Linked DNA regions of Mus musculus. The protein of the gene in region 1 binds, or shares a complex with, the protein of each later gene. Links are inferred from orthologs where the notes say so. Each region holds a gene or a part of one and is shown in the gene's direction. Other genes may lie near its edges.

What was found.
Region 2: Rbl1 (region 1) and Lin54 share a complex: the UniProt entries of both Homo sapiens proteins name them as parts of the DREAM complex. The link is inferred for Mus musculus from reciprocal best matches to the Homo sapiens genes RBL1 and LIN54.
Region 3: Rbl1 (region 1) and Lin52 share a complex: the UniProt entries of both Homo sapiens proteins name them as parts of the DREAM complex. The link is inferred for Mus musculus from reciprocal best matches to the Homo sapiens genes RBL1 and LIN52.

Annotation. Positions count from the first base shown.
Region 1 is NC_000068.7:157,201,677-157,205,429, reverse strand, and holds the start of Rbl1 (retinoblastoma-like protein 1), read left to right. Parts: upstream 1-895; 5' UTR 896-974; coding exon 975-1,130; intron 1,131-3,753. UniProt on the Homo sapiens protein: Key regulator of entry into cell division. Directly involved in heterochromatin formation by maintaining overall chromatin structure and, in particular, that of constitutive heterochromatin by stabilizing histone methylation.
Region 2 is NC_000071.6:100,452,012-100,455,664, reverse strand, and holds part of Lin54 (protein lin-54 homolog), read left to right. Parts: intron 1-1,156; coding exon 1,157-1,230; intron 1,231-1,527; coding exon 1,528-1,725; intron 1,726-2,572; coding exon 2,573-2,664; intron 2,665-3,321; coding exon 3,322-3,393; intron 3,394-3,653. UniProt on the Homo sapiens protein: Component of the DREAM complex, a multiprotein complex that can both act as a transcription activator or repressor depending on the context. In G0 phase, the complex binds to more than 800 promoters and is required for repression of E2F target genes.
Region 3 is NC_000078.6:84,454,430-84,458,082, forward strand, and holds part of Lin52 (protein lin-52 homolog), read left to right. Parts: intron 1-1,811; coding exon 1,812-1,886; intron 1,887-3,519; coding exon 3,520-3,557; intron 3,558-3,653.

The DNA of each region.
Region 1 (3,753 bases):
ATAGATGTACTGCTCAGTAATGGCCTGAGAAGGTTAAAATTAGACTTAAATGATGAAGAGCAAGGTATGCAAAGATATGCACAATAGCATTTTCACACACGGAGAAAAGCCTCCTGCGACTGAGAACTAGCTTGATATTCCCAAGGTTACGAGTTACCTGGTGCATCTGAATGCTATTATTTTTCTGTATTTTAAAGACAAAAAATGATCTCGTGCAGGATTCTGAGTGAAAACGATCAGGTTCTAGTTTAGGTTTTAAAAACACCTTTCAGGTAAGCGCGAGGACCATCTCTATTCCTGAAACGACTATTTACTGGGACAGTTTCCAGAATCCTGGGAGTGAGGCTGAGACCCGTCACCCCAAACCCTTGTCCCTGCATCCCTTTCTGGCGAGATTTGGGAGTCTCTGACGTGGCGCTTCTACGTGAAGAAGCCACTTTCGGCAGCTCCCGCCTCCACCTCCATCGAGGGTCAAAGCTCAGTGAGAGCGGGCTGGAGGCGCGCCGGGGAGCTGACAAACCTAGGGTCCACAGGACAGTGTCATGGAGAAGGCTTCCCACTAGCGTGAACGGACTCGCAGTCCCAAGTCACCCACACCAGGGAACCCGCGGTGGAGAGCGCGGGGCGCGAGCTACAGTCCCGGCAGCCTCAGCACCGGCTCGGATCCTTCCGCCCCGCTCTCTCACGTCCGTCCCCGCGGCCCGGAGCCCCGCAGCTGCCCACCCAGGGCCCGAGCTAGATCTCCGTTAGAGTCCGAGGTCCATCTTCTTATCCCATTCCGGGAGACGGGCTGCTGCGGGCTCCAGAGGAGAAAGGGACTTTTTGAGAAGAAAAGCGGAGGCAGACGATGAAGGGAAGGCGAGCTCAAGAAGGCGATTTTCGCGCGCTTTGTCGCGGGGGGTTGTGGGTAGCTCGCCGGGAGGGAAAAGAAAACCCCGAAGCCGGTCGCGCCGCCCGTCGGGCCGGAGGGGGATATGTTCGAGGACGAGCCCCACGCCGAGGGGGCGGCGGCGGTCGCCGCGGCCAGGGAGGCGCTGCAGGCCCTGTGCCAGGAACTGAACCTGGACGAGGGAAGCGCGGCCGAAGCCCTGGATGACTTCACGGCCATCCGCGGCAACTACAGCCTAGAGGTGAGCGGCGGCAGGTGGGCGGCGGCCCCGACCCTCGCCAGGCCCCACCCCCGGCCCGCCCCCGCCCCAAGCCTATCGGGCGGTGGGAGTTCCCCACCTACGAGGGTCTCCGAGGAGTGCGGGGAGGGAAGGGTGGGTGTAGCTCGGCCAACCCACCCATTTGGATTGAGGCGGGAAACCGAAGATCGGAAAGTGAGCCGCCGGTTCTGCGGGGGTTCCCTAGGCTCCCAACTTTCAAACTTGATTTCTGCGCGCCGCCCAGTGCCCCAAACGGCGCGGTGCTGCCGTTAAATCGATCAGACCTGATCCCGCGGTAAAATGAATTACTCATCGCTGCTCAGCCCTTTGATTATGTCTTCCCCAACTCGTTTGAAACACCACTGGATCCCCATTCCACAGAGGGAGAAAGTGGGGTCGGTAAGAAGTTAATTTAGCGCCCAAGGTGACGCAGTTTGCCATGCAACCTGGTACAGCAGTTTGAGCCCTTTAACTCCTCCATTCTTCCACCTAATCGAGTGTAGCAGTTAGTTCGTTTATACCATGCACTGTAGTTAGATAGATCAAAGTCAGCACACACAAAGCTCTTCTCAGCCCCACGTTCCTCTCTGCCAGGCCGTTGCTCTAACGATTGATGTGGTATCTGGCTCTGAATAAAATAAATGGTGCTTGTTATCATTATTAGGTATTCCCAGTAACACACACACATATGTTAATGATATATATGTGTGTGTGTGTGTGTGTATACATATATATATATATACCCAGGGGGTATCGAGACAGACTATTTCAGCATCTAACTGAGATGTACAAAAGCTTTCATTATACACATGGGCAGGATTCACATATAGGATTCCTCTGACTCAGACTGCCAGCGAAATAATTGCTGGTCAGGGAGTAGGAAATAGGGAGCAACTGTTGTACACATGTCTATACTCCTATGAGAGAAAAGTACCTGAGACTACACACACACACACACACACACACACACACACACATATATAAAATTTGTCTTTACAGCAGGACAGTGACTACTATACCTGTTTTCTTGGTGGTGTTACAGCTCAACATCCTTTTTTTTTTTTTTAGAGAATTAGAGTCACTCTAATATAGAAACCCAGATTGGTCATAAGCTTAGTGTAGAAGTAGACTTGTATTGGCATGTGTGTGGAATTCATGTCCATGCATTCAGCAGATCAAGAGTCTTTGGGGAAAATTACATTTGTCCTGAGCATGAACAGACTTGTCATTCCACAAACAATGTAATGTTATTTATATAGCATTTACATCAAGTAATCTAGAGATGATCATAGGTTATGTGCAAATGCATTGCCATTTTAAATCAGGGACTTAAACATCCTTGGATTTTGCTATCTTCTGGAGTACAGGAGCCATCCCCCAGGGGGTATGGAGACAGACTATTTCAGCATCTAACTGAGATGTACAAAAGCTTTCATTATACACATGGGCAGGATTCACATATAGGATTCCTCTGACTCAGACTGCCAGCGAAATAATTGCTGGTCAGGGAGTAGGAAATAGGGAGCAACTGTTGTACACGTGTCTATACTCCTATGAGAGAAAAGTACCTGAGACTAACTCACATGTTTTCAGCAAAAGGCAGAATAGACTTAATGAAAGATAGTGATCTACAAAAGAAGGTTCATAACCGGAAAACGGGGAGAATCTGAAAGTATGAGAGAGCTGGAGAGCTGGCCTGGCAGAGAACGTGCTTGCCGAGCCCCTGGATCCCCAGCAGCCACATACAAGGCAGGTGCAGTGGCAGTGTGGGCTGTAACCCAGGGGGGTTACAGGTAATGAGACATGGAAGGGTGAAGACAGGCAAACCCCAGGAGTGCTCTGGCCTGCTCCGGATTCAGTTAGAGACTGTCCTAACAGGCTGAGAATGATAGATGAAGTCACACAACATCTAACTCTGGCCGTCACTCATGCATACATGAATGGGTGAGTGCATGAACATACATGCGCACACACATATGCTATTCAAAGGAAATTTTAATGACATCTCAGTTGAAAAAAATATAAAAAATATATTTTTATATGTATATAATATATACTATATACATGTAATATATACAATACATATATATTATATGTATATATTTTGTTTTGTTTTGTTTTGTTTTTTGACTCCCTGGAAAAGCATTCAGAAACCCCAGGTCTTATTTGATCTCCTCAGATAAGCATGGTTGAATACAATGTGTATCCAAGTCACTGCAACTAGCTGCTTGTTTCAAATTCTTAAGCAAGTTAAACTCAGCCCAGGTTGTGTGCTTTTTTTGCAGGTCACTCTGCCTGGACTATTCACCTGTGACTCCAGAGAATGCTGACGATCTAAATTCTAAATCCATAGTTAGGCAGAGCTGATTGACACTTAATTGTTTGCTTTTAGAAAGCACTCCTTTATGAATTGAGTTTGGAGGATTCTGTCCTGTATTTTGTTTCTTCTTGTTCTTTTTTTCTTCTAGTTGTTGGTGAAAGGCACTTGGAGCAAAGGCAACTTCCTCCCTCTGCTGCCCACTAAGAATCCCTGCCACAGACTCCACCCCCCTCTAACTCCCCACAGGAGCCCTGCTGACCAGCTTCTTCCACCCACTCTCCTCAC
Region 2 (3,653 bases), on another chromosome or scaffold:
GTCTTTTTTTAAGACCTGTTTTTTTCTTTTATTTGGGTACTTGCCTAATCTGTTCAAGAGTATAATCTTGAGAGCAAGAGCTTTAATCTTGAGTCTCCTGGGGTACCCTGCCCTTAGTAGCATTTATACAGTAGCAGGGTTACAGTAATAGCAGTAGTGAATTTACTACTCACATCACATGCAAAGAGCCTACACACTTAAAAGTGGCAGAGCTGGGTCTTGAACCACTGGGTCTTTTGACTTTAGAACTTACTTTTTCATTATTAGTAAGTGTGTGCATTCATGTGAGTATGTGTTCATGTGCATATATGCTCATATGTGCATGTGTATATGCATGTGTGTGCACATGTCTATATGTGACTGCTCATGTATATGTAAGTTCATGGGTGTTATGTATGTGCACATGTGTGCACATGCATGTCTGTGTGTGTGCATGTGTGGTGTGTTCACATGCATGTGTGTCAGTGTTGTGGGAGTTGGCTTTTTTCTTCAACCACGTAAATTTCAGGGATTAAATTCTGTGCACTTGCTGAGTGAGCCATCTTCCCAGCTCAAGAACTCAGACTCTTAGCCTTTTTGCCCTGCTGTCTTTTTTAAATACCTAGTTGTTCCAGCATGATCTTTTTTCTAGCGTAAAGAAAAACACAGAAAGTAAAAGTAGTAGCACAGAATGGTGTGCTTAGCTGAACTTGTAAATGCAGTGCATTTGTTTTCGGTTTTGTATGCGGCTCTGAGCACAGGTTGAGGGATTTCAGTGGGAAGCTTTGAGCCTGCAGATAGTCCCTCCCCTGGGGGGTTTCTCACCTCAGATTCATATTGCTGGGGGGAATAACAACTGTGACAGGTAACTACTCCCTTTTGTTGTTGGTGGTGTTTTTCTTTATTGTTGTTGTTGTTTTGGTTTGGTTTTTATTGTAGCCTGGGCAGGCCTGGAACTCATTATGTAAGTCAGGCTGGCCTCCCAACTCACAGAGATCCATGGATCTTGCCTCTGCCTCTCAAGAAAGGTAACTAACTGTCTTTGATTAAAGATGCGCAAAGTGAGAATCAGGTGGGATGCTCTAAGCTGGTTCCTAAGCATAGCTTGAAGGATAAGGATTCTTAAGTGTTTTCAGTACTGTTTTTTGTAAATATTATTATTTATTTTTTTTTAAAGCAAAACCAGTGGTTGTTAATACCACCCCTGTACGGATGTCAGTTCCATTTGTCCAAGCTCAGGCCGTTAAGCAAGTGAGTATTGTGTAGCTTCTCCATTTTTTTTTCCCAAAGGGCAATTTACTTTTTAGTTATAAGAAGCTGGGCATGGTGACACATTCATTTAATCCCAGCACTTGGGAAGCAGAGACAGGCAGATCTCTGAGTCAGACTTGGCCAGCCTGGTCTACAGAGCCAGTTTCAGGACAGCCAAGGCCATCTAGAGAAACTCTGTTTTGAAAAGCTAGAAAATAATTTGTATACTGGATTAAGCTCCCATAAAATTAATGGTTTGTATTATTTAGTCACAAATTTTCTTTTTTTTTTTTTAAGGTTGTTCCAAAACCAATCAATTCAACTTCACAAATTGTAACTACCAGCCAGCCACAGCAGCGGCTCATCATGCCTGCCACACCACTGCCTCAGATCCAGCCCAACCTCACTAACCTGCCACCAGGTACTGTGCTGGCACCAGCTCCAGGAACAGGGAATGTGGGCTATGCAGTGCTTCCAGCTCAGTATGTTACTCAGGTACGTGGGGGTGAAGGGCCTATGCTTTGGAGCTGCTGTTTGCCCTTAGAGTGTCTAACTCTACCACGTTCTAAGTACAATATAAACATCAGCTCTGTATTAAAATGGCTCTTTCTAAAGTGTTATATTAATTGAACATCTGAATTTATTTTTGTTTAGAATTTAGAGATATGTAGCAGAAATAAGATTTAAAAGTTGGGTAGTTTGGAATAGTTTGGTGATAGGGCAAGACTATAGATAAGCATTTTACAAAGTTGACATTAAAAATCAGAATCCCGGTGATTTTAGGAAAGACTGTGCACACACTAACGTTCATCTGCACACACAGATATGATGCTACTGGCTTGTGCTGGAAAGTAGTTTGTAAGGTACATTTCTTGGGGACTTTTTGAGACAGGATGACACTTTAGTATAGGGCAGCATGGAGCTGACCATGCCTCTGCCTTGGGGGCTGGAAGGGTGAGCGAGAACCACGGCTCTCAGCCAGGGGACCACGATGCTTCCTGAGTTCACATAGCAGTGCAGAGTGGATAGGAGCTGTGTGTGGGCCCGGTGCATTTCTCACTTGAGAGATGTTATTTTGGTATTGGAGGATGTTCACCTAGAATTTCCTATAACCCTGACATTGTCCTTTGTGAGGTAGTCTTTTTATATCTGTACCATTCAATGCTGTTAGACATTCATGCTATTTCACTAGTGTTGGTTGAGGTCTTTAAAAACACGCCATCAAGTTTATATGAAATTCCCCATTGCTTTTTATCTTTGGGTAGTCATGCTTCTTACATATTGTTATGTCTGAGAGTGCTATCAATTTTGCAAATATTAACTTATTTTTTTTTCCTAATAGTTACAGCAGTCTTCATATGTGTCTATAGCAAGCAACTCTAATTTTACTGGAACATCTGGCATCCAGACACAGGCAAGGCTTCCATTCAATGGGTGAGTATTTTGAAAATATGTAAATTGAATTATTAAGTCAGTTTAAGTGCAGCATTAAATAGATTTATTTGAAATATATTCCATTTGTTTTTCCCTTTAAAGCTGTGCATTTGTCTAAAGCACTCTATTTTGAGATAGTTGAAATGGACAAGTTTAGAGACCATCAGCAATGGATTCCCTCCTGTCCTTTGCCAGCTTTTCTGTGTTTCTCCGCTCGCTGTGAATGTTTGTAAAACGGTGTTTAGTGCTGTTCTTCACGTGTTGAGTGTTGGCTCCATGTTATTGTTTGGCAGCTCTTGGCTGCCTTTGCTCTGTTGGTCTGTGACCCGTGCTGAGTTAACCAGCCCATTTGGTCCCACTGCCCGTTCTTCGCGCACCTCCTCCTCCTTCCTTCTCTCTTCGTGATGAAACCCCAGGAGCTTTTATAGCTTTTCAGCTTCAGTTCTCTCAGAGAGAAGAGGATGTGTGATGTATTCCTAGCAATTGCTGATAATATTTTTTAAAATGTAAAGGAGACATTCTAATAAAGTTTTGCCAGAAGTGGAAGCATCTATTAATGTTTTATGTTAGGCAGAATTTATAGATTGGAGGTTGTTTTACTAGTTTTAAGTAACTAATTGATTTTTTTTGTGTGTGTGTGTATGTGTGTCTGGACAGCATAATTCCATCAGAGTCTACCAGTCGGCCCAGAAAACCCTGTAACTGTACAAAATCACTGTGTTTGAAATTGTGAGTAGTTTATTACTGTCTGCTTATTTGATGCAACTACACATGTTCTTACAATTAAATGAAGCTAGTTGGGCATGGAAGTACAAGCCCAGTGGTTGTCACACTTGAAAATAGAGTCCAGAGGATGCTCTGCTCCACAGTGAGCTGGAGGTTGCCTGAGTCATGGGGGGTGGGGGTGGGGCCCTGGAGGTTGTCTGAACCACGGGGGGTGGGTGTGGGGCTGGAGGTAGATAGATGCTAGCGCTAAGAATTCCTAACAG
Region 3 (3,653 bases), on another chromosome or scaffold:
CAGAGTGAAGGAGGAGTCACTAAGAGGAAACAAGCGCAGCAGTTTCATGAAAGCATCTCATGCTGTGGGAGGTCATAGCAGGGACACATAGAAGTGGGACGGTCTGGCAAAGGGAAGCTTGATAACAGTAGTTTCAATGCACTAGGGACTGAACTAAGAGTTTTATAGGTTAGAGGGTGTAGGTCCTGGGGAGATGATACATTGTAGGTAAGCAGCTAGCTTTGCAAATATGAGGACCTGAGTTGGAAGCCAGGCATGGTTGTACCACCAGCTCTGTGGGTGTGGGGAGGGTATGCCCAGAAACAGCTGGATCCTGAGAGCATGCTGGCCAGCTAGCTTCTTAGTGAGCCACTAATAGACAAAATAAAAACATTTAGCATCCTTTTTGGTGTTTATTGTCATATGCCTATTTGTAGACTTATTACATCCATATATGCATGTGTGCATGCACACACACACACAGAGTGTGAGGTGTGAGAGTAAGGACAACGGGATACCCAGGAGGGAGGCTATGAGTTTAAAGGGAGAGTTTGCATGTTTCTGTGTGTGTCTGCACTCAGACATGCATATGGATACTGGTGCATGTGTGTACATACATGTGGAGACTTGGTTAACATTAAGTATAGTTTCGCTCTTTCTCTCATTTGTTTACTTATTTTTATGAGACAGGGTTTCACTATGTAGCCCTGGCTGTCCTGGGTCTTACTTTGTGTACAGGCTGGCCTCAAACTCAAAGATCTACCTGCTTCTGCCTCCCTTGTGCTGGGATTAAAGTCATTCACCACCATCACACAGCAAAGTGCTCTTTTAATAAGTGAAAAGGGAGATAAATTCTAGATCAGGCTTGCTTGTTGGCTCTGAGTCTAAAATAGAAACTTCTGCTACAAGAAGACTGTCTGAAGTGCTTATTAAAGCTGAAGACAGTGGTCTACAGTCAAGATTATCTTTGTTGAGAGCAGTGACACTTAGCTGACTGTAACTGGAGACAAGTTGAAGAGTGTAGGAAGACAGGTGGGTTTGCTGACACTCTTCTTTACAAGGGGTTTTGCTGTAGTCTGGGCTGGTCTCTCAATGCTCCTGCCTTAGTCTCCCAAATGCTGGGATTATATGTGTCAATCACCATGTCCACCTGATACCCATTTAAAAAAAAGTTTATGTGTATAGGTATTTTGATTGCATGTATTTCTTTGTACTACATGTATGCTAATTGGAATTATGGACAGTTGTTAGCTGCATGAGGTGCTGCGGATTGAACATAGGACCTCTGGAAGAGCAATCCATGCTCTTAACCACTGAGCCCTGATTTACTTACTTACTTACTTTCTTTCTTTCTTTCTTTCTTTCTTTTTTTTTTTTTTTTTTTTTTTTTGGTTTTTCGAGACAGGGATTCTTTGTATAGCCCTGGCTGTCCTGGAGCTCACTTTGTAGACCAGGCTGGCCTTGAACTCAGAAATCCTCCTGCCTCTGCCTCCCGAGTGCTGGGATTAAAGGCGTATGCCACCCCGCCTGGCTGAGCCCTGACTTTCTTTTTCTTTTTCTTTTCTTTTTTTTTTTTTTTGTTTGTTTGTTTGTTTTTTTCTTTTGAGACCTGACTTTCTTAAACACTTATTTTAATAAAGTGGAAGTCTGAGTTTTGATGAGGGAGAATCAAATTTATTTGTATTACATCATGCCCCAATAGGGCTTCAGGGAATCAATAGTTGAGACCTCTGAACTTCTAATTGAGTGTTTCAGGCTATGTTCTTTGAGATTGAAATATAATAAAATGAGAATGAATGCATTTCTCATCCCATCTTGGTGTTTGGTTCTAGGGACGGATTTGGAAGCATCTTTGCTAAGTTTTGAGAAACTTGACCGTGCCTCACCAGATCTCTGGCCAGAACAGCGTGAGTTATGACTTTTCTCATAGTAGAATTGACGCAGGAGAGCCGGCGCTCCCTTGGGAGAATTTTATAGTGTTATCATGGATCTGATGACTAAAATTTTTATTTTGGTTTAAAGAGAAGAGATTGATGTACAGTAAAAATAGGGACTTAGTGGTTTAACTTTTCAGAACATTGCAAGAAGTGATAATGAGCTTTTAAACAAAATTATAGTTTTAAAACGATATATCTGAATTTCAGACAATACTGAGATGCACAAAGCATTTGTTCATCTCCTTTAGTGAAATAGTTAAATATTGTTTGTAATTTTATTACAGACTTGTTTGGACTTTTTTATACGTGTACAGATAAGCATATACATATGTATGTTATGTATTGTCTGCATGTATATCACACAGGAATTTTTGGTTTTCATAGTGATGATGTAATATGTATAGAGCTTTCAGCTTAACTTATTTCAACAGGAAATTTGATGGATCGTTCCATGTTGATCTTTGTAGGTCTGCTTCATTGTTTTATGTATATTACAGTGGACAGGTATATTCTAGCTTCTATATTCACATTCTATTTGGAAACCTAACTTACCTCATTTGTATTTCACAGGCAGTGTATCAGTGAGTATCCTTGCATATCTATCCTGTATGTAGAAGAGGATGACTGCCCATTTTCTCACTAGCCAGTGTCACTCCTCATTGTTATGTTTAACTTGCATTTCTTTTAGGTTAAATTATATTCATTATTGGGCTGAGGGAAGCAGCCACGTGCCATGACGCATGTGTGGAAATCAGAGGACAGCTGGTCCGAGTCAGTTCTGGCCTTTTACCATAAGCCTGAGACTCTACAGTTCAGGTTGTTGGCTTGGTGGCAAGTGCCTCTCTCCACTGAGCCCCAGCTTGTATTTCTTAGTTAACAGAATTGAACATTATTTCCCTCTACCTTTGTATTTTAGCTGCTTTGCTTTTTAATGTGGTAGTATCCATGAGGCATTTGCATAAATAAACCAAACAGGACAACTGAAAAGAATGTTTAGCTTATTTATATTACTTATTTATTAGTAGCCCTGGGGTTCAAACCAAGGTCATGTGCATGCTAGAAAAGCACTCTATCCTTGGTCTAAATCGCTAGCTCTGGAGAGGGGGTTAAAACTGAGGCGAGAGATAGCTTACTGTTCTCAGGCCCAGTCCTGGCCCTTTAAAGCGGGAGGCAGTGGTTTCTCAGAGAAGCTTCTTCCGCCCCTTCGCTCCCATGAGAGCTTATTTGTTTGTTCTTGTCTTCCTGTGACACCTGATGCTTTTCTGAAGTGCTTAAGTGATGCTGATAATATATGCTCTGTCTTTTTCTAGAGTGTAAGCTACTTGAAGGCAAGATTTGGTTTTCAGTTTTTTAGGTTTTTGGTTTGTCCGTTTGTGTTTTGTTCTTTTCAGACAAGGTTTCTTTGTGTAGCCATGGCTGGCCTGGAACTTGCTCTATAGCCCAGAGTGGCCTTGAACTCACAGAGATCCCCCTGTGTCAGCCTCCTGAGTGCTGGGATTAAAGGTGTGCACCACCACCATCACCCAGCATTTCTTTATTATTTAAGTCCTCAGTGCCTAAACACAAATGCTTCCTACATGAGTAACTTTTTTTTCTTTTTTAGTACCAGGTGTCGCTGAATTTGCAGCTTCTTTCAAAAGTGTAAGTAAAACAACTTCTGTCTGTGGAAGTTTATCCAAAGTTTGCTCTTGGGTAAAAGGCTCAAATCTTTATTTTCAAGACTAGTGTCATAGTCTT